Mus musculus: one gene and its partners. The protein of the gene in region 1 interacts with the protein of each later gene in a pairwise test. Links are inferred from orthologs where the notes say so. Each region holds a gene or a part of one and is shown in the gene's direction. Other genes may lie near its edges.

Evidence for each region.
Region 2: the proteins of Nrip1 (region 1) and Rorb interact in a two-hybrid assay, tested with the Homo sapiens proteins (2 studies listed by BioGRID). The link is inferred for Mus musculus from reciprocal best matches to the Homo sapiens genes NRIP1 and RORB.
Region 3: the proteins of Nrip1 (region 1) and Cib1 interact in a two-hybrid assay, tested with the Homo sapiens proteins (2 studies listed by BioGRID and IntAct). The link is inferred for Mus musculus from reciprocal best matches to the Homo sapiens genes NRIP1 and CIB1.
Region 4: the proteins of Nrip1 (region 1) and Esr2 interact in a two-hybrid assay, tested with the Homo sapiens proteins (2 studies listed by BioGRID, with this or other methods). The link is inferred for Mus musculus from reciprocal best matches to the Homo sapiens genes NRIP1 and ESR2.
Region 5: the proteins of Nrip1 (region 1) and Cep70 interact in binary tests that used the Homo sapiens proteins (3 or more experiments, as listed by UniProt). The link is inferred for Mus musculus from reciprocal best matches to the Homo sapiens genes NRIP1 and CEP70.

Annotation. Positions count from the first base shown.
Region 1 is NC_000082.6:76,293,047-76,296,564, reverse strand, and holds part of Nrip1 (nuclear receptor-interacting protein 1), read left to right. Parts: intron 1-1,549; 5' UTR 1,550-1,897; coding exon 1,898-3,518. UniProt on the Homo sapiens protein: Modulates transcriptional activation by steroid receptors such as NR3C1, NR3C2 and ESR1. Also modulates transcriptional repression by nuclear hormone receptors.
Region 2 is NC_000085.6:18,957,697-18,961,196, reverse strand, and holds part of Rorb (nuclear receptor ROR-beta), read left to right. Parts: intron 1-655; coding exon 656-788; intron 789-3,500. UniProt on the Homo sapiens protein: Nuclear receptor that binds DNA as a monomer to ROR response elements (RORE) containing a single core motif half-site 5'-AGGTCA-3' preceded by a short A-T-rich sequence.
Region 3 is NC_000073.6:80,229,993-80,234,183, reverse strand, and holds the start of Cib1 (calcium and integrin-binding protein 1), read left to right. Parts: upstream 1-1,378; 5' UTR 1,379-1,623; coding exon 1,624-1,674; intron 1,675-1,805; coding exon 1,806-1,840; exon of another isoform or gene 1,841-2,181; intron 2,182-3,759; coding exon 3,760-3,868; intron 3,869-4,191. UniProt on the Homo sapiens protein: Calcium-binding protein that plays a role in the regulation of numerous cellular processes, such as cell differentiation, cell division, cell proliferation, cell migration, thrombosis, angiogenesis, cardiac hypertrophy and apoptosis.
Region 4 is NC_000078.6:76,163,758-76,167,275, reverse strand, and holds part of Esr2 (estrogen receptor beta), read left to right. Parts: coding exon 1-19; intron 20-1,654; coding exon 1,655-1,827; intron 1,828-3,518.
Region 5 is NC_000075.6:99,241,938-99,246,143, forward strand, and holds the start of Cep70 (centrosomal protein of 70 kDa), read left to right. Parts: upstream 1-1,403; 5' UTR 1,404-1,553; exon of another isoform or gene 1,554-1,947; intron 1,948-4,206.

The DNA of each region.
Region 1 (3,518 bases):
CATCTCACACCACTGGGCTTAAGGCAAAAGGAAAGTAATGGAGTCCCCAATAAGAGGAGGCAGTCATGAAGTGTCTTCACTCTTCAAAGCCAACTGCAGACCAGTTGTGTAACCCACTGTGCTGCGTCATCTCTCAGAACATAAAAAAATCTGCAAGATCCTACTTGTAGACTCACATTTAAAAGTTGTTATTAAGCACGACAAATTCAATATATTTTATTTCATTTTCGGTCCAGAATGTGTTACTCTTAAAACTTTGAACAGCTAATTATGCTGAATAGAGAGCAGGAACCTTCCTTGTCTTAATAATTGGTAAATCTTTTTCATTTTTAGATTAACTGCAACTGTGGTAAGCAGTTGAATAAATGACCTCACTCTCACATCATCTCTTTCCTTCTGACTTCTTTTGTCATGCGCCTGCCTTTGGCATTTTCCCACTTAATGAAAAGTCTCGAGTGAACTGTGACTGCTCGGAGTCTTGGTGGGCAGAAGGGCTTCTAGCTTCCAGACAGTAAAACCTCAGAATGATGAAGTCCTTCCAGTACAGCGACTGATGGGATGAAAACTCTGTATTTCTTGTTATCTAGTGCGACCTTGTTCACCCATTTTATTCTTGAATTAGAGGAAAATCCACCTGGATATTAAGCTTTCTGAACACGCTAGTCAGGTGTGGCATACAGAGGTCAATGGTAGCATCACCCTTCATGAGCATGGGGTCTTCTGGGTTCAGATTCTAACTCATCTAGTGGGAACCCTTCCTTTATCAAATTTCTTTGGTATTTTGGGCAGAAAACGAAAAAGATTTAAATTTGCCTTTCTTTTATTAAATTTTTCACTTAAAACTTTAAAGGAGCCTTAAGATATTTTCTGAATCACATTTACTGTTTAACTGTGTCCATGTTCATTGGGCATGTAAGAAGAAATAGACCGCCCCGGGCGAAGAGGATTTTCCTTATACTATACTTATACTGTCCTAGATATGTGGGTCAAGGTTCAGGGCCCAGTGCTAGCATTCGCTGTCATAGCTCCCCGGCTTCATGTCATTCCACAGTGCTGAAACAGATCTCCATGGAGACTGGCGTCTGAGCGTTGTGTTGGATGACGTGTGAATGAGAAGCACGAACTCGGGATTTCCCGTTATCCCTCAAGTTAAACATCCGGGGTGGGTTCTGATTTAGGAAATGATTATTTATTTACCTGCAGTCTCGTTTTTCGGGGAAGGTAGGAAATAAACAATGAAACACGTACGTGTGTGTTACTTACTGTACAGCATTGGAGCCTCTTAGTAAACTGTGCTGTGTTCGCAAGGCCGTAGCTCATCCTTCCGTTGCAGTGAAGTATTTTTAAGGATACATACCTACAAATCACATGTTAAATGGATGTGGCTGTCATGTGTATGTGTGCATAGTGTGTGTGTGTGTGTGCAAACTATATTTATAATGTGTTATACCTTATGTGAAACTCACAATGCTGTATTCTATTCCTTATAGGTAATGAGCATGATGCCAGCTCTGTTTCTCCTCAACTATTTTTATTTTTATATTTTTAGATACTGACGTGCGTTTGGTGAGCAACGAAAGATGATGAAGAAAGAAAACCAGCATATTCCCTGAGACCTGGGTGCCAGCGCTGCCGCTGTGCTAAGGAAGTTGCGAGGCTGGCCCTTGCCTAGCCACTCATCAGTGCTGTAGTCTGCACCCGAGTTTGCCCCAGCCTCTGAGCCCCTCGTCACTGCCTGAAGATCCCCTGGTCAGAATGTTAACAGTGCATCTCTGCCCGACTGCTATGGGAGGTGATCAGGTGACGCTCACTTCCTGACGTCACGTGGGATCTTACTGACGAGAGGAGCTCTTTCACGTGAACGGAAGCCGAGCCCCTGTGAGCGCTTGTATTGAACATGACTCATGGAGAAGAGCTTGGCTCTGATGTGCATCAGGATTCTATTGTCTTAACTTACCTCGAAGGGTTACTAATGCATCAGGCAGCAGGGGGATCAGGCACTGCCATTAACAAAAAGTCTGCTGGCCACAAAGAGGAAGACCAGAACTTTAACCTCTCGGGCAGTGCGTTTCCCTCCTGTCAAAGCAATGGTCCCACTGTCAGTACCCAGACGTACCAGGGATCTGGCATGCTGCACCTCAAAAAAGCCAGACTGCTGCAGTCTTCCGAGGACTGGAACGCGGCAAAGCGGAAGAGGCTGTCTGATTCCATCGTGAATTTAAACGTAAAGAAGGAAGCGTTGCTGGCTGGCATGGTTGACAGTGTGCCTAAAGGCAAACAGGATAGCACATTGCTGGCCTCTTTGCTTCAGTCATTCAGCTCTAGGCTGCAGACTGTTGCTCTGTCACAGCAGATTAGACAGAGCCTCAAGGAGCAGGGATATGCCCTCAGTCACGAGTCTTTAAAAGTGGAGAAGGATTTAAGGTGCTATGGCGTGGCCTCAAGTCACTTAAAAACTCTGTTGAAGAAAAGTAAAACCAAGGATCAAAAGTCAGGTCCCACCCTCCCTGACGTGACTCCAAACCTTATCAGAGATAGCTTTGTTGAGTCATCCCATCCCGCAGTGGGACAAAGTGGGACAAAGGTCATGAGTGAGCCCTTGTCATGTGCTGCAAGATTACAGGCTGTTGCCAGCATGGTGGAGAAAAGGGCGAGTCCCGCTGCCTCCCCAAAGCCTAGTGTTGCCTGCAGCCAGTTGGCGCTGCTCCTGTCCAGCGAGGCCCACCTGCAGCAGTACTCTCGGGAACATGCTCTAAAAACGCAGAACGCACATCAGGTGGCAAGCGAAAGACTTGCAGCCATGGCCAGATTGCAAGAGAATGGGCAGAAGGACGTGGGCAGTTCGCAGCTCTCCAAAGGGGTGTCTGGCCATCTCAACGGGCAGGCCAGAGCACTGCCGGCAAGCAAACTGGTGGCCAACAAGAATAACGCTGCCACCTTTCAGAGTCCAATGGGTGTTGTCCCTTCCTCCCCCAAAAACACGAGCTATAAGAACTCACTGGAAAGAAACAACCTAAAGCAGGCTGCTAATAACAGTCTGCTTTTGCATCTCCTCAAAAGCCAGACCATACCCACGCCGATGAACGGGCACAGCCAGAACGAGAGAGCGAGCAGTTTTGAGAGTAGCACGCCCACCACGATTGATGAGTACTCCGATAACAACCCGAGCTTTACAGATGACAGCAGTGGAGACGAAAGCTCGTACTCCAATTGCGTTCCCATAGACCTGTCTTGCAAACACCGGATCGAAAAGCCGGAAGCTGAGCGGCCCGTTTCGCTGGAGAACCTAACCCAGTCCTTGTTAAACACGTGGGATCCCAAGATCCCCGGCGTTGACATCAAAGAAGATCAAGATACCTCAACAAATTCCAAGCTGAATTCACACCAGAAAGTCACTCTTCTTCAGTTGCTGCTCGGCCATAAAAGTGAAGAAACTGTTGAAAGGAACGCCAGCCCTCAGGACATCCATAGTGATGGGACTAAGTTCAGTCCTCAGAATTACACAAGGACTTCTGTCA
Region 2 (3,500 bases), on another chromosome or scaffold:
CTCATCTTTCCTATGGAATTTCTTTTATACAAAAACAAAACAAACAAACAAAACAATTTATAACTCATGTTTGGTGGCTTCTGCCTACAATTCTGGCACTCAGAAGGCAAAGGAGAAGAACCTTCTGAAGCTGACCCCCCCCACACACACCACACCCCTTTAAGCTCTGCATTTTGTTCTAGGTCAGCCTGGATTACATGGTGAAACTCACCCTCCCCCATAAAATAATAGACAACCACAATATCAGGATTTTTTTCTTAAATTCTGGGAAAAGAACACAACATGAAAATATTATCTTCAGTGTCCACCAGGTTCCCAAAAAGACAGTATTATGGTGGATGCTAGGATAGAAATCACTCACTATTCCTGAACATGGGCTTTGTTTATGGCTATTGAACTAAGACTGAGTTTGTTGCAGTAAGAAATGGAGAAAAATAGTAAAGAAAAATATTTATTTTGCATTCTATAAACATCATTTCTCCTTGTTTAGCTATGGTACTTTGATAGTTGAGAACAATAGAATTCACGTAATCAAAAAAGAAAGAAAAAAATCACTTCCCACCTTGGGTGGCAGTGACAGGTGGGGCAAGGCATGCGTATTTCCTCATCTCCTTGGAAGGTGGTCAATTCAAGGGCTGTGTCCTCTCTGCTTCAGTCCAGGGAGGCTCTGTGGCAGCAGTGTGCCATCCAGATCACCCATGCTATCCAGTACGTGGTGGAGTTCGCCAAGCGGATAACAGGCTTCATGGAGCTGTGTCAGAACGATCAGATCTTACTTCTGAAGTCAGGTGAGCCTTCTGACTTGTGAGGGCCTATTTCAGACAGGGACTGTTTGGCCGTCAGCACTCCGCGGGTCCTAGAAAACCCTGCTTCCACAGGTAGGTCTTTTTTGCCACCCACACAGTCACCTAACTCCCTCAGGAAACTCAGTAATAAAAATGCCCTGATATCCATTCATATACCCCTTTGAAGTCAAATACAATTTTGCTTATTGAAAAGTAGAGCTATTAATTGCCGAGGCTGAGATGCCCAGCTTGACAGGCAGTGAAAGTAATTAGCATGTCAAGGTGGCTGAATTGCTGAGCTGGCGCTAAAACCAGCTTCTTGCTCCTGCAAGAGAACAAAAACATCCAAGCTGGCTGAGCTGGGCCTCTGTGGTCACTTCCAATCATTTTAATGAGAATAGCCTGCAGCCTGGATCTACTGGAAGAAACTCCTCTGTGTTGGGATCCTTCCTTCTTCTCTGATGTTCTCTTTAACACACAGGAAATACTGACGTTATTTGTGGCCTTAGCAAAAAAAAAAGTACTTGTGTCTCTCTTGGATCCTTTTGAAAAGAAAATTGGAACCCAGTAGCTTTTGGGTTCATCTTCCTGGACTCATTCACACTGAAAATAACATCCTTTTCCCTCGTACATATCTCCACATTTACACATGATGTTTCATTTATTTTTATGAGATTGGTATCATTTCAAACTTGAAACAACGAGAGTAAAAGGCCGTGTTCAATATCACAAACCATGATAAAGCTGCCATTTGAACATAGGCCACCTAGAGTTGTTATGGTAGCATGATGTTGATTCTTTAACCAATGATAGCAATGGGCAAAAACTCTGACTCAAGCACTGATTCCAATGTTATCTCAGTTATCTAACCATCCTAAAATTTGGTTAAATAATCATTTATTTATTTTGTGCTCAAGGCTACAGTTTATAGAGCTCAGAAGGATGGTTTCTCCCTACTATGCTTATTTTCCTGGTGTGCACTGAGACAATTCCCATCAGGACAGGAGAATCCATTTTATTGCTCACGTGGGCAACAATCTGCTGGTGAAAGGGTAGCATCAACAAAGGCTCTGTGTTGGGGCTTCAGTTGCTGTCCCTGTAAGAAAAATGGCTCCACAGATGGCCTGGACTTCCAGACAGTATAGTCACTGGGTTCCAGAATCCAGAATTCCAAAACAACACAGCGGGAGTTCTTATAATCTTCTGACATACCCTAAGAAGTCACATTAGGTTATCTATACCATTCTCTACCAATTAATGCTATCATGAAAGCATACCCAGGGTCAAGTGTACTAGGCATGCCTTCTACAGTAAGGTTTTGGAAGCATATGGAATAGGTGACATTTTTTGTGACTCTTATCAAAAGAATAACACCTGACCTGTTTGAAGTATGGCCTTGAACAAACACCTTAAGAAGTCAGTGTTCTAACCTTTAAAATAAAGAATGGGACCAGAACCGCAAACTAGGAATTGTAGCAAACATAGGAAAGGAACTTTTTAACAGTTCAGAGATGCACCCATCATCGCAGAGTATGGAATTCAGTCCCTTTAGAGGGGAACCCAGTTCAGTGCGTTTCTGAGATTCGTATATTCCCAATCCGTGGATGGTATTTGGTGCCATTGAATTACATGATCATTCATATCCTGCCTCCTATACAAATGGTGTCTTCAGTATAAAGGTACTTAGTACCTTAAAGCCTCCTGTAATTTCTATTTACATGAATCTATGTGAAATTCACTTGAAATGGTCATTACCACCAGGAAACTGTCTTCTGTAGTGCAGATGTGCGATCAATGGTATCTGTTTCCACTGGTGTCAAGATGACCATACCGGGTTAATATTTGTACATCTTCTCCTATCTCTATACTCATAGGCTAAAAGTAAGGAAAAATCAGCAAAGCATAGGAAATAAAACACAAACATGATAAAGTGAGGGTGTAAGGAAGGTGCCATAGATGCAGCCAAATCAGCTGTAAGATCTTCACACAAGAATGTGGTACTCCGGAGTCTCTCGCCTTCAAATAGGGCAAAGCTCACATCTCTAAAACATGGAGAAATGGGACAGCAATAGTGTCTCGGGATAGAAATGTTTGTTGAGAGGACAAACAAAGGCAATTGACTAATTCATTCACTAAATGTTATTAAGCACCCACTCTGGGCTGCCAACTTTCCTTGGTCCTACACAATGTCAGACTGAGTGAAATTACTCCAAATGCGTATTACTGCTGTTACATGTGGCAAAAATCCAAAGGTGAACCTTTCCAGAAGTAACCCTTTTTATACTAAAGCTCATAGAGTAGATGTGGCTGACACTTCCTGGACCACTTATCAACTTTAAAAGTTGAAAAGCTGGAGTGAAATTTAAAATTTGTCAAAAGACAAACAAAAAGGAAGGAAATATTGTCTTCCATTTTATCCAGCTTTTAAATATATTCTTTTTATTTCTTTATCAAAGTATCAAAAGATCTTGATTTCTAAAATTATTACTCTGTGTAATAATTTTTCACATGTGTAGTAGTACCTTCAGAAGAGAGTATAGGATCTCCTAGAGTTTGAGTTTCTTAATATGGTGCTGGGAACCTAACAGAAGCACATACTCTCAACAGCTGCACCATCTCTCTGCACCCCTAAGATGATTACTTTTGAAGAAGGACTCTCTTGAAATGTCCTAGGTCGATGATACATCTCAGAACTTTGGGGCTGAGGCAGAAGGA
Region 3 (4,191 bases), on another chromosome or scaffold:
GTTTACTCAGTATTGTCTGGGCTGATCAACAGCGGCAGCTGTCCCCAAGGATGCATCTCTGCAGTCCCAAGCCGGTGCTGGGTTCCTAGAGAGCTGTTGGTCTTCAATCTGAGTTGGCAGCTGGAACACTATGATTCTAATGTCATTAAAGGAAATCCTTAGTGGCAGGTACAGGATAGAGACTTATCAGCAAGCCAAGGCAAACAGGCCAAAAGCCATCTTCCGTTTCCGTTTGGTACGGGTTGCCACCTGAGCGCACTGCCGCAGTAGATTTTCGCACTTCAAATAAACTGATCAAGAAAATCCCTCTGCTCAGGGGTTTCTATGAGGTAAGACCCTGAGTGGACCAGGAAAGCAAGCCATAGCCCCTGGGCTTTGCGGTAGAGCCTGCACCTCTCCTGGAGGCTAAAGAAGGAGCAGAGAGAAAGAAGCATGAGAAGCAAGGTTTACAGTCTCCTACCCAGAGGGTATGGAACATCTAGCTGGACTGGCCGGATGAAGGACCAGACTTCTCTAGGAATGAATACCAGTCCAGTACGAAGTTAAAATATTCTCAAATAAATTGTAATTGACTTGGCCCTGTTGTGCCAGGTGACGAAGCAAAAAAAAAAAAAAAAAAGAAAAAAGAAAATCCCTCACAGGAGTGTCAAGCTGTTTCCCTTCTCCTTGACTCCAGATCCAACCAAGTTGACCACCCAGATCACAAAATCCACATTTCCTCCTCCGGAAGCTTGGAATCTTCACTTTTTCACACAGTGTAAATATGTTCATACTTGCATCTGATTATTATTTGAGAGGAGAGAAGGGCAAATCTTGGTTCCTACAGCTGGAAGCTCGCAATTTGTGGGAGGAATCAAAGGAGGCACCCCAGCTGTGACGATAAAACAGCAGGAGGGACCTGTGGACAGAACTGACCTCTAAATACCGGAGTCCGGACACATCACTGAAATTGAACCTGTTTGTAAAATGGAAGCCTACCTTGCTAACTGTTCCACGAATGGGCGATAACTGCACAATCCAGTAAACACCTTCAAGAGCCACTTCAAGAGGAAGCTAAGCTTCTTCTGGAAGAATTGGCACGGTGGCAGAGGCTGCAGCTCTTGTCCCGTGAGACAGTCTAGGACTGACCCTATCCGCAGAGGGGCACCGGATCTCCTCCAGCCCGGGAGCGAGTATGGAGGTTACCCGCCTCCACCCAGAGCTGGGGTCTTCTGCACTTGATTTAGGTGAGGCGGATGCATCTCAAGGCTCAGTGCACAGACGGGTCCCGGAACTCAGCAAACGCGTGAAGACCGCGACGCAGGCGCAGTCTGCATCACGTGCGCATGGCTCGTTCCGCCCCGCCCACTAGAAGGCGGGGCCACGAGGCCTGGGCCCCGCCCCGATGCGTCCGGCTCCTCCCCGGGCCCTCCCTCCAGCTCTCCTGGGCCCGCGGGGAGCCGGGAGCCGGCCCGCTGAGCGGCGCTAAGGGTGGCGGGGCACTGTAGGCAGGGGCGGGCCCGGGGGCGGAGGCCAGGCAGCGGTTGCTACGGGGACTGGGCGGGGACGCGGCCCCGAGGACGGAAGTGAGAAAGTTGCCGGCGTCCCGGGGAGAGTTGGCCTAGCTGTGCGCGCACCGCGGCGATGGGAGGTTCGGGCAGTCGCCTGTCTAAGGAGCTGCTGGCCGAGTACCAGGTGCGCGGGGCGCCAGTTCTCGCGGAGCTCGCGTGCGAGCCCGCGCAGGGGAGTGGGGTTCGGGGAACAGGTGGCGGGGCGGCCGTGGCTTTCGGGCGGCTTGCAGACCCTTGTCTGGATTTGCCTTTCAGGACCTGACGTTCCTGACCAAGCAGGAGATCCTCCTGTGAGTGCTGCCCTGACCCCGGTCCTCCAACTCGGGATTGCCAGGGGAGGGCTTTGCGGGTACTTTTCTCGCGGGATACGGATTGGACGTCTCACCTCCGAGGGTGGGGCTGTGCTTCTGGGATGTCAGGATCACTGGATCTGGAGTCGGAGGCTCAGAGTGCAAGTCCCACCCGCTCCAGAGCCTCACCTTTGCACCACGCAAACACTTCTGTGTATCCAGGAAAAGTTGAACTGTTTGAGCTCCTCTAGCCTCCTCACTGCCGAGCTTCCTGCTCGCTTCTAAAAGGAACTGCTGTGACTCTTTGCGGACTTTGCCCTCTGGCAAAACCAAGAGGTCTTGTACGTGGCTCGCTCCAATCCCAACTTTACCTGTTTAATTCAGTAACCGTTAACGTTTACTGAACCCTTACTCTGCCCAGTAGCTCCTGAGTGATCCACACATTACTTCAGGAGGAGGTTACAGATCAAGGAATCAGGTTCAGAGAGTTCTGAGAACTTGACTATAAAGCACACTATAAGTGATTTGCTGGCCAGAGCGCTTGAGTTAGGTTCCTAGCCCCACAATGAAATTCTACTGGGAAAGAGGTGGTGGCTGAGAGGAGTCTCTGGAGTGGAGGTAACATGTGTTTTTGTTACTGTAATGTTAGAGTCCAGGTACTTGGCCCACACAGGCAGTCCTAACCAGCTAGGCTGTGCTACCTGTCCTCAGTAGGCCAAGGAAAGGGACAATATTGAAAAGCAGAGAAACGAAATGTATCCAATGTGGCCATACTGGGAAAAAAAAAAAGCTAAGAATGGACATGACCGCTCCTCCCCCCATCTTTAAGTCAATCTTCATGTCCAGCTGATGTGAGGTTTATATTTAAATAAAGGGCAAGGGTATGTAAAATTAAGCAGCAGTCCTGGGCAAGATGGAGTCTCTCCTTCATTGTCTCAGCTCTAGTCTCATGAAAGGTGATCTTCTGACAAGTTACCAGAGCCGTCTGTGTAAAATCTCTTCCTGGTAGACATTTTCTCCTAAGTAGACAACAGGCTTCAATTCATCCTTCTCACAACACGAGATTGCCGGGGAATTCCAATTTCTCGGGGGACATTGTTTCTGTAGTTCAATAGCCAAAGGGACAGGCACAGATGTCTCTAGAGTTATCTTTTTCCTGCCAGGACTGTTGCAAAGAATGCCTGACACTGAAAGGGAAAGTCGCAGCTCAGGACCCCCAGACCAAGTTCTTAGCACAAAGGAGATTTATTGCCTTAGAGGGACAGAGGGCAAGAAATAACAAAGACATGAGTTCGAAGACAGGAAGAAGGGGAAGGGAACAATGGAGAGGTGGAAGGAGTATTTGTCCTACAGGAGAAAGGACTGCCTCTGGATAGAGAGGAGACAGACATGGACATAGGAAAATGGCAGATTATAAAGGTATAAGGGGAAACCCTGGGCTACGAGGAGGTGTTTAATTTTAGCCAAAGGGGGCTTTTGATTGCTGGACGTGAATACTTTGATAGCTGGACCTTGGTCGTCGGCCTCAGGAGGAGGAAGTGGCCAAATAGGGGAATAGACTTTGGGGGCTGGCTTTAGCAATGTAGGTTTGTAGCAAGGTAGAAGGAATTGGGCCCTGCAGAGTGAGCAAGGCCTGCCAGAACCATGCTCACCAAGCTAGTCAGAGTCCCTTCAGATAGTGTCTTGCAGACATGGGTAAGTTCTTATAATTGCCCACCCTAAGAAGGGACCCCCCCAAGCCTCTGCTGTTTTGTGAATTACCCTCTTTGGCTAAAGATTGCCCAATGACTGGGAATCCTGGGTGTGTGACTTAGTTTCACAGCTGGTTTATAGGGCATTCAAACCGCAGAATGGGGATGTCATAAATACAGGGAGACTGACTGCTTGAGGCCACCAATAAGTTCCCCTCTCTCTGCCAGAGCCCACAGACGCTTTTGTGAGCTGCTTCCCCCAGAGCAGCGGACCGTGGAGGAGTCACTGCACACCCGAGTATCGTTTGAGCAGATCCTCAGCCTCCCAGAGCTCAAGGTTCAGTCCTCTACCCACTTCATCCACCCTCTCTCTGCTAGTACCTTCCCTAACCCTTCCTATTGATTGTAAGCACATGCCACCACACCCTGGGGTTTTTATTTTGATGACATGGAATTGTGTGGGATGTGTACACATGTAAGTGCTGGTGCCTGTCGAGTTTCCCTGGTGCTGGGGTTATACGTGGTTGTGAGCTGTTCCTCACAGGTGCCAGGAACTGAACTAGGGTCCTCTGCAAGAGCAGTATGGACTTGTAATCCCTGAGCCATCTCTTCAGCCCACTCTTCCCGTTTAAAACCAGCATTCGTTCTGCATTCGTTCTG
Region 4 (3,518 bases), on another chromosome or scaffold:
ACACCTTGCCTGTAAACAGGTAAAGCCCTGTAAACCATGGGTGGTGGCTTGATCCTTTCTTTACAGGTTAGCATGAAGAAAGACATGTTAGAAAAGGTCTTTACTCTGTCACCTGCATTCTTAGGATACTGGAGACATGTTGCTCTGTCCTGCTCTGACATTCTAGTTCTTAAAATGTTGCGCTTATGGATGGACACTATGGAGAGAGTTCACCATAATGAATAATCGTCTCTTTATGCAGCAAACATCAAACTTGTATCCGTTTGGTTTAGGTGAAGGTGTTGGGTTTTAAGTGGTTTGTTTTCTTTTGTTTGGTTTGTTTGGTTTGGTTTGCTTTTCACAGTCAGATTAGAGTCTTAGTGTAAAATGACAGGTTACTTACTGTTGATGACAAATTGTCTCCAGGATGAACGTAGCCATGGTAACACTACAACTTCCACGAAGTAGCCATGCAAAGCCAGGAAAGCTAACGGGCACAGGCTTTAGTGATGAGCTGAGGTGGTGCTTTGTCAGGGGCAATGAGACACCAACTGTAGGATTCTGTTGAAAAGATCTGAAGTTAACACAAGTTGAACTCTGAATGCATGGCCACGTGATGTATTGCTTCTGTCTAATTTGTAAGGTTTTCGACTCTACCGATGGCTGTTGAGAGAGAGGAGAACATATGAATGCGTGACTGGAAGAAACGGAGGGCTGGAAGAGAGAACCACGTTAGGGCACACTGACTCTTAAATGCATTACTTGTAGGGTGTGATGGTGCATACCTTTGATCCCAGCACTCACAAGCCAGGTCTAGCCTAGTCGACATAGTGAGTTCCAGGACAGCCAGGGTTACATAGAAAGACCCTGTTTCAAAAGACAAGGCAAAACAAAAAAAAATTTGTAACAATATTTATATAAAAATAATTTACAATAATAATATTATTATTATTATAACAATATTTCAAATATTGTTATAAATCTTAGAGGAGACAGGAGCTGGAGGGCCCATCTCAGTACTAGAGGCATGTTTAACATCCTCAAGGCTCTGGGTCTAACCTGCTGTACCCCCAAACCCAGAACCTCTGGCAAACCAAACCAAACCAAACCAAACCAAACCAAGCCAAACCAAAACAACCTTTAAGAAAATACACAATAATTTATTTTTTCTCCTTAATATTTTTATTTATTGGTAAGCTAAAGAAACAAATATAAAAACTGTAGGTTGTGGCTGAAGACAAGTGCTTTTAACATATCTCTCTTTAAAGGGTGAAGTTTGTTTTTATCGTTTCTGAACTAGCAATAGCTCTACTATCTCCCTCCCCAAAAGAAACATGTCCTGGCAAATCAGCCCATGGGCAGAGTGTGCAGCTGCCCCTGCTGCTCCTCTGCTGGACAATTCCTTCTTAGAGCTACGGATCCCAGCCCAGCCCTGAGCTGCCCTCTTCGTAGCCTCTGAGGGCTTGGACTCACCACGTAGGCTCTTAAATGTCAGTCTCCACTGCGATGGAGCTCCCTGTGATCTGATATCAGGTTTCCTGGAACATATTTATCCCTAGCTCTGGAAGGCAAAGAGATTAAATTTGACCAAGTTCATGCTATTTTTTTTTTCTGCCAAGCCCTTCCCCTCTCTTGTTGTGTCCTTTGACAATGGCTGTGTTCTCTGCTCCCCCAGAGAGACCCTGAAGAGGAAGCTTGGCGGGAGCGGTTGTGCCAGCCCTGTTACTAGTCCAAGCGCCAAGAGGGATGCTCACTTCTGCGCCGTCTGCAGTGATTATGCATCTGGGTATCATTACGGTGTCTGGTCCTGTGAAGGATGTAAGGCCTTTTTTAAAAGAAGCATTCAAGGTACAAGACTATGATAAATCATTCCTCTAGTATTTACACTTTGGCTTGCAAGCAATTTTGCAGAGATGATCTGATATAAATGTCACCCTTGGGCTGGCTTACACTTTGTGAACGTGAGCAGCTTAGATGAGTGTGTGTTTGGGAGTGGGTTGAGTGGGGGTGTATGGATGTCTGGATTGCTTGTTTCTACTCCAGAACCCTAAGATTATAGGGGCCAGAAAAGATATCTGTTTACAACCTTGTAAAGATAGTGCTAGGAAAAAAAAATCTGTGCTCATCAAAGAATGTCTATCTGTTCATTTTTTCCTAGGTTTAATATAGGGTATGCTTATGTCATGACGGTGGGCTGGCGTTTAACTTTAATGTTGGTTTGTTTATGAGACAAGGTTCCACGTAACCCAGGCTGACCTTGAATCCATTATTTAGTCATCAAAGATCCTGAACATAGGATCCTCCACCTCCACAGTGATCATAGGCATCCACCACTAAGCCCAGTTTGTTCGGCGCTGGACATGGAACCCAGGGCTGCTTCCTGCATGTGAGGCAGGCTCTCTACCAACTGCGCTATGCCCCTAAGCCACACTGTACTTCCTGACATTTACCATTCTTCATTTTCATGGTTTTCAACTTTCCTTGCCAACTTGGTCGGTAAAGCTGCCTGCCTGCGTCTTAGTGCAGTGGGGCTGTGTGGTGCAGGCTGCCTACATCTTAGTGCAGTGGGGCTGTGTGGTGCCAGCTGCCTGCGTCTTAGTGCAGTGGGGCTGTGTGGTGCCAGCTGCCTGCGTCTTAGTGCAGTGGGGCTGTGTGGTGCCAGCTGCCTGTGTCTTAGTGCAGTGGGGCTGTGTGGTGCCAGCTGCCTGTGTCTTAGTGCAGTGGGGCTGTGTGGTGCCAGCTGCCTGCGTCTTAGTGCAGTGGGGCTGTGTGGTGCCAGCTGCCTGCGTCTTAGTGCAGTGGGGCTGTGTGGTGCCAGCTGCCTGCGTCTTAGTGCAGTGGGGCTGTGTGGTGCCAGCTGCCTGCGTCTTAGTGCAGTGGGGCTGTGTGGTGCCAGCTGCCTGCGTCTTAGTGCAGTGGGGCTGTGTGGTGCCAGCTGCCTACATCTTAGTGCAGAGGGGCTGTGTGGTGCCAGCTGCCTGCGTCTTAGTGCAGCGGGGCTGTGTGGTGCCAGCTGCCTACATCTTAGTGCAGCGGGGCTGTGTGGTGCCAACTGCCTACATCTTAGTGCAGTGGGGCTGTGTGGTGCCAGGTTTCCCATCAAGACCAGACTCGCTGACCTCTCCACAGAGTGAGGCACCACCAGACCAAACCCTGTAGTTTCTCTCCTGGGCTGTGGGGCACAGAGAAGGGATCAAGGACAGGGGTTCCTTACCACTTCTGGTCTAGCTTAGGGCTTGGCTTATTTTTAAAAGCTTATTCTTTTAATTCTGTTTCCTTTTGAAATTCTTTCAACGAGTATTAGTGGAACTGTGTATTAGGTTGTGCGACACAGGAAGACAATGCAGTGTATTCTATTTTGTTCATTACTGGTACAAAACCAGTTTCTTGAATGATAATTTGTAAAAAGCATTGGGCTCACACGATGCGTAGAGATATATTCTGTATGTGTGTGTGAACCTATGTGCATGTACACATGTGAGTGTGTGTATTTGCATACATGTATGACTGTGTGTACATGCCCCTTTGGAAGCTAGAGG
Region 5 (4,206 bases), on another chromosome or scaffold:
AAGGTAAGCAGTTAGATTGTCTTAGGAAGCTGAAAATGAAAATCTGTCAGCTCCGTAGTGTGAATATCCAGATATAGAAAGGGAAGGAAGGGGCCATGAGGGGGAATAGAGGGATTGGGATGTGTTTGCAGAGAACACACACAGTTTAGACTCACTGTGTGCCTAAACGTGGGCTTGAGAGCAGTACTCTCTTAAGAGATGTGCCCTTGGACCACCCAGAGAGAGTCACTTTAGTTGATGTATTAGGGTCACTAAGACCCTGATGGGACTTGCATTTCCCAAGTCCTTCTGGAAATGCCTGTTGTCAATACCGCCACCGTGTGGCTGTAAGTTGCAAGGACAACGATGGTAGATTCCTGAAAACTCGAGGTCATCCTTTAGACTGCGAACATGATTTTTTTTCCCTTACATATTTTGGATTTCTTAACCCACTTTTGGTTTTTGAAAAGAGTGGAGAAGGACCTTCGTTTTATTTTTTTCCTTGAGCCAAGGCCTCCTGTAGCTTCCGGTGGTCTTGACTTTTGCTATAAAGCCAGGGATGACCTTGAACTCCTGATCTGCCTGTACCTCCTAAATTCTGGAATTACAGGCACGTGTCAGCTCGCCTGTCTTAGGCCGTGTTGAAGAATCAAACCCAAGGGCTTCCCGGACGCTGAATTCTACCAACTGATCTACATCTCCAGTCCCTCTTCCCCACCAGGTTTAGAATCAGTCTTAATTATTTCTCAGCGGACAGTTGGTTCTCCCTCCTGGCTATACATTAGAATCACTTCGGGGAACCATATAAACTCTGGACGTGTGGGCCCCACTTTAGAGATCTTGACTTAATTAACCTGGAGGCCCATAGATCGTTTTCAAGGCTTTTCAGCTTATCTAAAGTTGAAGCAAGAGTTGTGCCTCATGTCCTTATGTAATCTTTTATCTCTGTAGCCACAAACCCTTTATTAACCAGTCTTATCAGTGTCTAACAGGAGCCCAAACTGCCTATCTAGACTGAGCTTCGTCAGGCAGGCATCTCAGTTCTTCGTAGACCTTTGAAAATATTCAAGGAGAAGGTGAAATGTTATCAAGAAATGCTTATTGGGGTTGCCCCGTGCAGACAGTTCCTGAAAAAGGCTCGCAGTCAGGGCGTGAGGGGGAGCTGTAGGGAGCGCAGGCATCCAGTGATAATAAGGCAGCCCCGGCCTCACTTTCACTTGCAACCGCAAATGTGTGTATTTCTAGCTTCTCGGGGATCAAAGAAACACCATGGTGACTGAGCGACTATCAGGCGGAGCGTCCAGGAAGTGTCAAAGCGCCTGCTACAAAGTAGCCGCAGCAAGTCCGGGTCCGGTGGGAGTGGAGGCGGGAAGAAGCCCCGCCCCGTGGGCGGAGCTAACGATAGAGCGCGGCGTGGACCCGCCTTCCCGGCGCGCCAGGTGGTGTTGTCCCGCCCCGCTGGGAGGCCATCGACTGCGTCAGTTCGATTGGTCAGCCTGGCTGCGCTAACGGTCGCGTAGGCGGGGCTTAGGCCGCGGGGGCGAGCGCGGTGGAAGCCACGGGCTGTGACCGAGGTGAGTGGCGCTTGGGGTCGCCGAGGACTTTACGTGGGCCCCCTTCAGGTGCACGCCCAAAGGTGGCTTCTCCGGAATCCGGAGCGTCCCACTCACCAGCCAGGGCCCTCAGAATGGAGTCGCCCCGGCTCCTACGCGCTAGCTAGGAAATGCGCGTGCAGGTGTGGGCGTGGACCTCCCTGCGGGGAGCCCGCCCGTCGCTTTGTGTCCCTCGCTCCTCACTCAACCTCTTCTCCCAGCCGAGTGTTGAAGGTGTGCGACCTGGTAGAGGAAGCAGGAACTGAGCTTAGACTCCTACATGGAATCGGCTGGGTTCCGGGCTAGCTCCAGTTCTCTTTGCGGCGCTGTCAGGTGATAGCGATTTGGAGCCAAGTGGGAGATCGCGGAGTAAAGGGTAGGCGAGTACCCCTCCTGTCAGACTCATTACAAATTTAAGGACTCCGCCTTTATGTGGGTCCACGTTGATTAATGTGAAAAACACAGCAAAGCCTAATCAAGGTTCCCACTATTATCAACTAATCAATAATTGTTCACGCCACGGTGCAGACGTAGAGAAAGAGGACAACCTTGGGCGTCGGTCATTGCCTCTACCTTGTTTGAGACAAGGTCTTTTGTTTTTCTGCATACTGTAGGGGATGGAGGGGAGAGCTGCAGAGTCCGATCTCCCTACAGGAGGCCCGGGGTTACAGAATTCTCGCCTCCTGTGGATTCTGAGGATTGCTTCTCAAGCTTTCTTGGGACAAGTGCCTTTACCCACTGAGCTGTCTCTCTAGCCTGCCACTTTATTTTGTAATCATATCAGCGCTGCAGGCATTGGTTTCAATCTTGTGCATTGCATGGATTTTTGTAAATAGTAAATAGCTAGTAAATGGTAAACCGTGAAGAGCAAGTTGCAATGTTGTTGGAATTGAATTGTTGATTCACGTTAAGGCAAGGTTTCATGCAGGCCGTCTGAGGACGACATTGAATTCCTGATCCTCCAACCTCTGAAATGCTGGGGTTACAGCTAAACACCACCACACCCAGCTATTATATTTATGGGGGTTTTGTTTTTTTTTTTTTTTTGTTTTTGTTTTTTGTTTTTTGAGGCAAGATTTCTTTATGTAGCCTTGGCTGTCCTGGAACTAGCTCTCTAGACCCAGCTCACCTAGAACTCACAGAGATCCTCCTGCCTCTGCCTCCTGAGTGCACACCACCATTGCCTGGCTATAAAATTTTAGTATGTGTTGTATTTTAACAGATCCTCAGATACCTACAGGGCAATTAATGAACTGTTGTGAAACATGGATGGACTGTGTCAAAATATACACTTTTCCCCCCATGATGGCTGTCACTTGTACTCACACTCCCAGGGCTGAGAGGGATGGGTTGCCTAGGCTAGTTCTAGGTCAGCCAAGGTTCTGTTTCAAACATCTCCAGTTTCATCTTTTTCTCATTTTGTTTTTCTCTTATCTTCTTTTTCTCTTATTTTCCTTTTCTCTCTTTTCTTTTTCCCCACCCTCCTTTTCTTGAGACAAGATCTTGCCATGTTGTCCAGGTTGTCTTGGAAGTCACTATGTAGACCAGTTTGGCTTTGAACTTACAGGAGTCCACTAGGATTTGCTTCCTGAGTGCTGGGAATAAAGGCATGCATCACCATCCGCCACTAAACATTTTTACCACTTTTAATTATGTGCGTGTTCATGTGTACAGGTACTCGTGGGGGCCGAGGAGTTGGATCTCCTGGAGCTGGAGTCATAGGTGGTTGTGAGCTGCCAGGCGTGGGTGAAGGGGATTGAACTCTGGTCCCCTGTAAGGGATAACATGCTCTTAGCACTGTGCTGTTTCATTTCTGTTTGTTTTTGTTTTGGTTTTGGTTTTTTTGTTTTTGTTTTGAGACAGGGTCTCTCTATATAGTCCTGGAACTCACTGTGTAGACCAGGCTGGCCTCGAACTCACAAGATCTGCCTGCCTTTGTCTCCTGAGTGGTAAGATTAAAGGTGTCTACCACTGTGTTTGGCTTCTTTCTTTTCTTGAGATAGGGTTTTACTATGTAGCCTGGGCTGTCTCATATCCTTCCTAAGACCCAAAGCTGGGAATTATGGGTATGTGATTTTTTTTCTCCTTTTTGTAACACTTGGCTTTATTTGCCACGTGGCTAAACGACATCCGTCCTCTACTTCCTACTCTAGGAGTCCTGTGTGTTAACAACACTCTGTAAAGGTTCTGCCTTGGCCCTAGGATGCCGTTATTTTTTTTTTTTTCCTGTGACTTTCAAGGTTCCAAAGCCGTGTCTTGTTAATAGCCTGGATGGGGAAAAGATTACTACAGACGATTAGCATGTTTGCATTAATAGGTAATACTTTGTGTCAATTTGTAATAATTGGAAGTGTGCTCTTGAAAAAGCTTACAGGTTTTTACTATGACTTTTTAAAGAACACTTTCAGAACTCAGAGAACCTTGGGGGTTACAGGGGGTGGGGGCTTGATCACGGGTGTAAATAAGTTCTCTGCTTCCTGCTTTTACTTGAGTACACTTGCAAGCAAGGATAACTACCCTTGAAGGCCACATATCAGAATGATAGATTTGAATATCCTGCACATGTTTCAATAAAGCAATAGGAGGAAGGACAAGGGGGAAAGGAAGGGGGGCATCTGTGGAAAAAGCTGTTCGT